Danio rerio: one gene and its partner. The protein of the gene in region 1 binds, or shares a complex with, the protein of each later gene. Links are inferred from orthologs where the notes say so. Each region holds a gene or a part of one and is shown in the gene's direction. Other genes may lie near its edges.

What was found.
Region 2: vps8 (region 1) and si:ch211-266g18.9 share a complex: the UniProt entries of both Homo sapiens proteins name them as parts of the putative class C core vacuole/endosome tethering (CORVET) complex. The link is inferred for Danio rerio from reciprocal best matches to the Homo sapiens genes VPS8 and TGFBRAP1.

What each region holds. Positions count from the first base shown.
Region 1 is NC_133176.1:33,661,839-33,666,307, forward strand, and holds the start of vps8 (vacuolar protein sorting-associated protein 8 homolog), read left to right. Parts: upstream 1-1,501; 5' UTR 1,502-1,605; coding exon 1,606-1,677; intron 1,678-1,974; coding exon 1,975-2,043; intron 2,044-3,703; coding exon 3,704-3,840; intron 3,841-3,939; coding exon of another isoform or gene 3,940-3,945; coding exon 3,946-4,036; intron 4,037-4,469. UniProt on the Homo sapiens protein: Plays a role in vesicle-mediated protein trafficking of the endocytic membrane transport pathway.
Region 2 is NC_133192.1:16,857,638-16,862,181, reverse strand, and holds the start of si:ch211-266g18.9 (transforming growth factor-beta receptor-associated protein 1), read left to right. Parts: upstream 1-1,605; 5' UTR 1,606-1,652; intron 1,653-1,930; 5' UTR 1,931-2,107; intron 2,108-3,958; 5' UTR 3,959-4,005; coding exon 4,006-4,544. UniProt on the Homo sapiens protein: Plays a role in the TGF-beta/activin signaling pathway. It associates with inactive heteromeric TGF-beta and activin receptor complexes, mainly through the type II receptor, and is released upon activation of signaling.

The sequences.
Region 1 (4,469 bases):
TTTCATATACACAAGTGTAAATGGTCAGAGAGGAAGGCTAATATCTTCCACTTAAAAGCTGCTGTCAAACTTTATTTAAAAACACTTAAAGCAATCAAAACTGTAAATACGGGCCTACTCCAAGAACTAAACTTCTCTTCTCTACAGTAATTGTTATGTTTATTTGCTCTTGTTAATTTTCTTTCTTTCTTTCTTTTGTAATTTTGCTTACATATTTTATGATAAAATGTGAATATCCTATTGAAAGATTTATACATTTGGTTGGAAATGTTCAGCATATACACATACATCAATTTATAAAATCTGTGATATAAATGATTGCATATTTATCTTGTATACAACTTAAATAATTAAATAAATAAAAAAAACAAACAAACAGTATAATAATAATATATGATAATGATAATGATAATGAAAATGATAACAACAACAACAACAACAATATTAATAATAATAATAATAATAATAATAATAATAATAATAACGTGTTTTAAAGAAAACGGCATAATTTAAAAAAAACTGCATTTCTATTTCTATTGTATTGCCTTTCTGTTCAGATTTATATTAAATTACAATGATGATGGAGTTAAGTGAAGGCTTATTTTATAGAATTAATTAATTTATAAGTGAATTAAATAATTTATAAGTGAGAATAATAATAATAATTGCGGCGCATTATGTAGTCCTGTCGCCTCACAACAAGAAGGTTGCTGGTTCATGTATGTATGTATGCGAATGACTGTGTATGGGTTTCCCAGTAATGGGTTGCAACTGAAAGAGCATTCGCTGCGTAAAACATATGCTGGATAAATTTGTGGTTAATTGCGACCCCAGAATAATAAAGGGACTCAGCCGAAAAGAAAATTAATGAATAAATGAATAATAATAATATTGATAATACAGGGAATTTGGTGTTTTTTATGTATTTTTAAGTTTACTAAATTAAAATTACCACTCAAGAAAGACAGGTAGTAAGAAGAAACTCTACTGATATCATACGATGGTAATAACATTTTTATTAAAGACACAACTTTTTATTTTTATTTTTTATTAAAGAATGCAAATATACAACCACAATCAGGAGATCGACATAAAATTGAGAAAAATACAAATTACATTAGCAGCAGAAAGAAAAAAAAAAAAAGATTAACAAAACAAAGGAAGGGGTGAGTAATTTACAATTGTATAAAAGTGTATGAAAATAAATTAAGAGCATTAGGAAAGCGTTCTAATCAGAGTCAATAGACAACAGCTCTTTATATAGAACCAGGAATCTGACACATTTTTTGTTTTACACATACAGAAAGATTTGAGCAGTGAGTCAACTTCAATCAGAAAATGTAAAAGAAAATGTAAAATGTAAAAGAAAATTGAAGCCATGCATTTTTTGCTTATGTATAAAAAAAATCCAAACAAGTTAGCCGGATATGTTTTTAAAGACACGACTTTTTATAAACAGGAAGTTGAATGATTACGTATGCCGTGAAGTCCCGCCTTTTCCGACAACAACTAGGATGTAGTCTGTTGCTGTAGTGCATTTTGACTACAGCTGATAAAGATATAACTTGATGATATTTTATCCAAGAGCTGATCTTTGACAGTACAATGGCTGAGTCTCCAGACTGTCGGAGTCTTGTTTCTGCGTCGTCACAGCTCAATTTAATGGAAATAGAGGCGGTACGTCTGAGATTGACTAACGTTAACGTTAAGATGATTCAGTGTCTATGATTGTGTTAATTTTTGTTATAATTGGTTTGCTTATTTACAGGTTATTAGATAGGTGCGCTTTATTTATGCTTCTTTCTTTTACGTTTGTCACTGAGGTCGTGATTGTTTTGTGCATAACCGTTATATGTTTTTGTAATGTATTATTGTTATTATATTGTATGTATGGTAAGAATCCTCTGCACTTCTTTATAGCTCTGTTCTTTGATACATGTGCGTTTTAATAGTAAACATGCATTTACATTGTAGATTGACGATAAAGAGTTTGACATCCCTCAAGTGGACACACCTCCGACCCTAGAAAGCATCCTTAATGAGGTCAGTATCAGACTGTCTGTTTTTTTTATTGTTCCCTATCAGCACCCTCAAGATATTAGATGTGCAGATTCACCAGTCGAAGGTTAGAACGCACCTTTATGCTCTTTTCAACGTTTCATAACTATATGTAGAGACAGTTATGAAACCAAGTGACACATGTAAATGGGTTTATGGGAATTATGGATAGACCAAGATTTTATAAAAAAACCCTAATGTAATATTATCCACTTTTCCAATCAAATGTTTAAAATAATTTGTGAAGAAATTAAAGGGATTGTTTACCTCCAAATAAAATGATATGCTAAATTAAAAACCCCCACAAAAACTAGGGATGCTCCAATCAGGATTTTTGCAGCCGATACCAAGTACTGATTCTTTGTCATAGTGATTGGCAATGCATAAAGCACATTTTTCCTCTACGTATGTTACTTAAGTGGAGATATCTTCTTACCCAAGTTAAAAAAAAATTAAGGATGTTGCAAATTACCCCTTAAACATTTCTCTTATAGCCATTTAGGTGTGAACATGTCATGGTCAAAAGAAGATTTACAGAAAATAATAGATAAAATCTAAAAAAATTGGTCAGAAAAATGACAAACAAAGCAATATGAAAACATTTTTCAAATTGCATATTTAATGCATAAGAAGTTCAAATGCACACATCCCTTACTTCTTTACTAAAATAGACCTATAAAGTACTGTTTATTGCAGTAAGTATATTACAAGAAGTTATATTATTAAATCTTTATGTAAAAAAAAAAAAAAAAAAAGTTTTATTTATGTAATTTTCCAGCCAGGTTTTAGTGAAATTGCAATATTGTCAAAAACACAAAACATTCAGTGTTTTATGTAAAAAGGCCTGAATACATGCAAGGTCATTCTAATATTTTGCTCGTCCCCAACTAACACAAACCCTTGCAATCGGTTCATGATATCAGCCAGATCAGCAAGTACCGATTGAGTAATGATAGCAAACTGTGGCTGACTAATTGGAGCATCCCTTACGAAAACTGTAACATTATTCAAGGAAGAGATGTAAATTGTGTTACCATTTACTCATCATTCACTTGTTGCCAAACTCTTTCTCCTGTTGAATACAAAGAAAGTTATTCTGAGGAATATTGGGAAAAAAGTGTTATTAACATCCACAGTAGCAACAAAATATTCTATGGAAGTCAATGGCTGTTTTACTTTTAACATTCTTCAGAACAAGAGAAAGAAAGTCAAATATATTTGGAACAAATAAAATATTTTGTTTAGTGTTAAAATATATTTATTTATATATTTTTATATATATTTAATTTAAAATGGTTTATAATTTTTTCGTTAAATAATTTAAATTTTTTTATAAATTTGTACAACTTTGTTCTTTTTAATATTTTAACATGCTGTATTTGAAGGTCTTTGAATTTACCAGACATTACATGCATTCACAAATTTAAGATTCTTTAAAAGAAGATATATAATCACAAGTTATTTATCTTAAGACTGAGTTTTCAGACACACAATACTAAGTTTAGAATTTAAGTAAGACTTACCAAACAGAAGACAAACACCCAAAACTAGTGATAACAAAATCATGTTTTTGCAAGTAGGAGTGCCTTAAATTTATTTTAGCACACTATCTATTCATTTGTCAATGCTCTTTGATTTATTTCAGCCTGAAGATGAGGATGAGCCATTCATTTTAGAGGACACATGTCTTTTGAACACAGAGAACATTGATGCCCACTCGTGTGAGACCTCTTCTTTGGCCAGCTCTGACAGTGGAGACCGAACGCATTTAAAGAGGAATGCGCACTTCCTTTATATTGTTGTTCTTGCCCTGTTGTGGTTTTTGTTCTGCTGTTAAAGAAGTATTTTCTTTTGAGTTATTATTCTGTGTGTTCCCCTCAGGAGGAGGAAAGCAGTGGAAACTAATGCTACAGTGCATGGATCTGTTCTTAGACGCAATGTGCTGAAGGGCATCTCAGCTCAGATAGTATCTGCTGCGGTAAGAGGAATAATACTTCATCCACAATTCCAACAATGCTGTACTACATAAGCTGTGCTTAAATATGTTGTGTATTTGATGACTACACTGTAAAAAATACATTTGAATTGGGACAACATGAGGGAATTAGGTTAACTTATTAAATTCTAAAGATTTAAGTGGATTGAACATAAAACAATTAAACTGTCTCCAAAAAAAAAAAAAAAAAGAATAATTGTGTTGTTTCAGCTTGATTTGAACAAACAGCATTTTTTAAAATTTTTGTTCATTAAATATTTTTGTAACATTAAAATAAGATCACATTTGTTAACATTATTTAATGTATTACATTTAACAAATGTACTTAATGGCCCATATTAACCTTGGTTATTATTAGTTTATTAATGTTCATGTTCATATTAGTTCATGGAGCTTCATGACTTTTTAAAATAAA
Region 2 (4,544 bases), on another chromosome or scaffold:
GCTGTTTCTAAAGTCTAAGGACATTTAATATCCTCTATCTTTATATACAAATAATGATATAGCTTACAACTACATGTAAACTTAAATGAACACTTCTTTTGAAATTAGGCTCATTTTAAGTTTGCTTGAGTTAAACTGATGAAGTTGACCATTTTTAAATCTATTCCGCCGATCTTCAGGTCTGGCTGCAGCACTTTTAGTGGAGCTTAGCATAGATCATTGAATCGGATTAGACCATTAGCATCTCGCTCAAAAATGAGTTTAGATAAGTTTTCTATTTAAAGCTTGACTCTTCTGCATTTACATTGAATATTAAAAAGGACAATGAAAAGTTGCTATTTTCAAGGCCAATATGGCTAGTATCTATACTCTTTTTTGAAGTAATACGCAAGGAATTTTGCTGCTGTATGATGGCTGCAGAAGGAACAGTAAAATTAAGCAGATGCTAACTGGTGGTGCAGATGTAGGTCTTGGTTCTTGGGGTTTTTCTCAGGCACTTTTTTAAAGCATTGGGGTCAAAAAATCCTAGAGGGACTTGCTAGCATTCATAGTAAATTTTCTGTCATGTCAGTATGATTTCAGTAGCCATAAGCATTGATCTGTAAGTCGCAGAGACTGTTTTTAAGAAATGCATCATTGCTTTTAAAATGTTTTAACACATCTGTATTACATTTTTATTTAAGGGTTAGTCCCTTATTTATCAGGGGTCGCCACAGCAGAATGAACCACCAACTATTTCGACATATGTTTATAGCGCATGTCTTTGGACTGTGGGGGAAACCAGAGCACCCTGAGGAAACCCACACAAACACAGGGAGAACATAACAGCTGCACACAGAAATGGCCCAGCTGGGACTCGAACCAGTGGTCTTCTTGCTGTGAGGCGACTGTGCTAAACACTGTGCCACAGTGCCACCTTTACATGTTTATTCATTTACTTTTCGGCTTAGTCTCTTTATTACCCAGGGGTCGCCACTGTGGAATAAACTGCAAACTTATCCAGCATATGTTTTACGCAACAGATGCCATTCCAACTGCAACCCAGTACTGGGAAACATCCATACACACTCATTAACACAAATTCACTACGGACAATTTAGCTTACCTAATTCACCTATAGCGTATGTCTTTGGACCTGGGGGGGAAACTGTAGCACCCAGAGGAAACCCACGCCAACATGAGGAGAACATGCAAACTCCACACAGAAATGCCAACTGACTCAGCCGAGTCTCGAACCAGCGTCCTTCTTGCTGTGAGGTGACAGCGCTACTCACTGCGCCTTGTGTCTATGCAGGTAAATGTGCATTTGGTAGAGCCACACTTTATTTAAAATACATGTGAAAACTGTCATAAGATGAACTTGTGTATTCATGCATACTGAGTCAGTTTGCCACTAATATTGTTCTGTAAACAGAAAAAATTTCCAAGTCACTTTAAAAAACATCTCGAGAGCATGTAAGAAATATTTAACCAAGGGTTTTATGTCTCTGAGATATTTGGCATTGTGAAACCAATGATCCATTCAGAGCTGGAGTAAAAGCAGCAAAACTGCTGACACAAACTTCCTCAGGATGAGAGTCACATGGCAAGGTCAAAATACAATTCAGTGAAAGAGAAACGTCTACAACACTGACAGCGTCTACATTAACGAGGTGAGACTGCTATTTATTATTTTTTATGCTGAACAAACACTGTATATACTGGTTAAATATAATTTCAACTGATTATGGTGCTAATTACTTTGCTTTACTAAAGCGAGACACTGCAGGTAAAAAAAAGTTTTTTTTTCTCTGTAATGTAAAGAAAACATCTAAAATACGCAGAATAGGCTCAATCTAAAAACGTAGATATATTTACATTTCTGAAGATCGCAAATTATGTAGCCAGAGCTACGTATAGCTGCATTTCATCTTTAAAATGAATGCTACAGGGGCGGTATGATGGCGTTCCTTTACACGCTTGGCAGCTAACCTCCATGTGGACAGCTTTTACACTGTTACCAGTTTGTCCAGTGGCTCGACACGTACATCGGCCGACTTGAGACACAGAGAGGAGTTAACCGTGACTACCAAGTTCTAGTCTGGTGAAGAAAGGTTCCAGAAAGCAGGTAAGAGAAAAACAGAAGCCAAAAAATAAAATAACAGGTGGAGAATGTGGTAAAATCGTGGTAAAAAACGTGGTAAAAACCAGGCGAGGGCTTTTCTTTTTCTGGATTGCTTTTGAAAATTAATGGTTGGGTTTAGGGAAGTGGGTGGGTAAGTCAATCTGTGCTTTTTAAAACACTATTGGTTGGGATTAGGGAAGGAGGAGGGTGGGTGAGTTGATCGGTCAGTCAGTCAGTAATATAGTCAGTCAGTCGACAGCAGCATCTGGTGGATTTACGCAAGAACAGCAGGTGCGCGAGAGAAATTTAAGATATGAATAACCATACACAGCGACCTCTGGTGGATTTGCAAAAACAAAAACTGCAACAAAAAAAAACTTAGCTCCAGGGATGTGTTTGGCTCTCTCCAGAAATATGTAAAAAGGTAAATAATCAAAATGAGCCTGGGTTGAAAATATATATTAAAGTGCTACTTTATCGTCTTGTGTTGTTGAAATTCAATTACTTTACACATTTTTAAAAGAAATTAAAACAGCAAATTAAAGCACATTTAATTAAATAATCCTTACTTGCATATTCAGACATAATTTAGAAAACTAGTAACGCCAAAAAAATTAGCAATTCTTATGACATTCAGCTCTGTTAATATAACTGATTGGTTTTCAATTTCAAGGTTTCCATAAAATATTTTACCCAAAAATGAAAATTCTCAAGTGTTTAAGCCTACATATGTTTCTTTATTTTGAATATTATAAAGAATGTTGGGTTGGCACAGTGGCTCAATGGTTAGCACTGTCACTTCACCGCAAGAAGGTCGCTGGTTCGAGTCCCAGCTGGGCCAGGGGACATTTCTGTTAGGAGTTTGCATTTTCTCCCAGTGTTCACATGGGTTTCCCCCGGGTGCTCCCTACAGTCTACAGACATGGGCTTTAAGTTGATAAACTAAATTGGCCATAGTGTATGAGTGTGTATGTATATGGGTGTTTTCCACTACTGGGTTACAGCTGAAAGGGCATCTGCTGCCTAAAACATATGCCGAAATAGTTGGCAGTTCATTCAGCTGTAGCAACCTCTGAAACAGACTGAGCCGAAGGAAAATAAATGAATAAATGAAGAATGTTTGAAACTGGTGCATTCACCTCCATGGTAGAAAAAAAAACAAATACTATTAAAGGATATCTTCTTTTATGTTCAACAAAAAAATAAAACACTTTTACCTCTCACTTGTTTCTTAAAAGTGAATTTAGAAAACTTTCATTCATTTTCTTTTCAGCATAGTCACTTTATTAATCAGGGATTGCCAGAGAAGAATGAACCACCAACTTCATTCATTAATTTTCTTTTCGGCTTAGTCCCTTTCCTAATCAGGGAACGCCGCAGCAGAATTAACCAACAACTTATCCAGCATATGTTTTATACAGCTGATGTTCTTCTAGCTGCAACCAATCACTGGGAAACACCTATACACTCTTATTCAAACACATACACTATGGCCATTTTAGCTCATTTAATTCACCTATAGCAAATGTCTTTGGACTGTGGTGGACACCGGAGCACCCTGAGGAAACCAACACGGGGAGAACATGCAAACTCCACACAGAAATGCCAACTAATCCAGCCGAGGCTCGAACCTTCTTGTTGTGAGGTGACACCATCACACCGCCTTAGTTTAGAAAACTTGTAATACAAAAAATGAGTTACTCTTAATCCAATGAAGGGAACTAGTGATAACTACTTTTGCCCTTTTCATTTGGAGTGTACCTGTTTTTATTTATTTTTTTGCTTCCAGCACACAGAGAGCTGAACTAATGAAGGCTGTTTCCTATCTCCACCCAATTTTTCCTCTATTTTTAGGTGTACTTCTGCATCTGAGAACTACAGTAAATGAACAGTAAATAACCATGCAGGTCTTTACTCCAGCGCTAGTCTTTCAAAGAACGCCCTCAGGCAAAGGCAGAGACAAATTCAGCATTCAGTGTCTGGAGTGTTTCGGTAAAAACCTCTACATCGGGACCAAAGAGGGAGCCGTTGAGTACCTCACTGTAAACAACCCAAGCTCTCAACAAAGCCTTACAGTTCGGGAGGTGGGAAAGAGGCAGATGGGTCGAAGCGGAGCAATCATCAAATTAACAGCCATCCCGGTTCTCAATCACCTCTTGGTTCTTTGGGACGGTTCGATTACAGTGCTAAACATGTTCTCCCTTGAAGCCCTCCCAGCTCTGAAGAAAATCCCCAACGTTTTACTCTTTGCTGTCAGTGAGTCAGGGATTCAGAGAGATTCAGCGGAGCTCATCGTGGCCTCGAGCAGGAGGAAAACAGTAAGCGTTTATAAGGTGCATGTGGACAGATGGGAGTGTGTGAAACAGGTGGTTCTGCCGCAGGAACCTGTGCTTCTGGCTGCGCTCGGCACGTGTCTGTGTGTGGCCACTTGTGACAGATA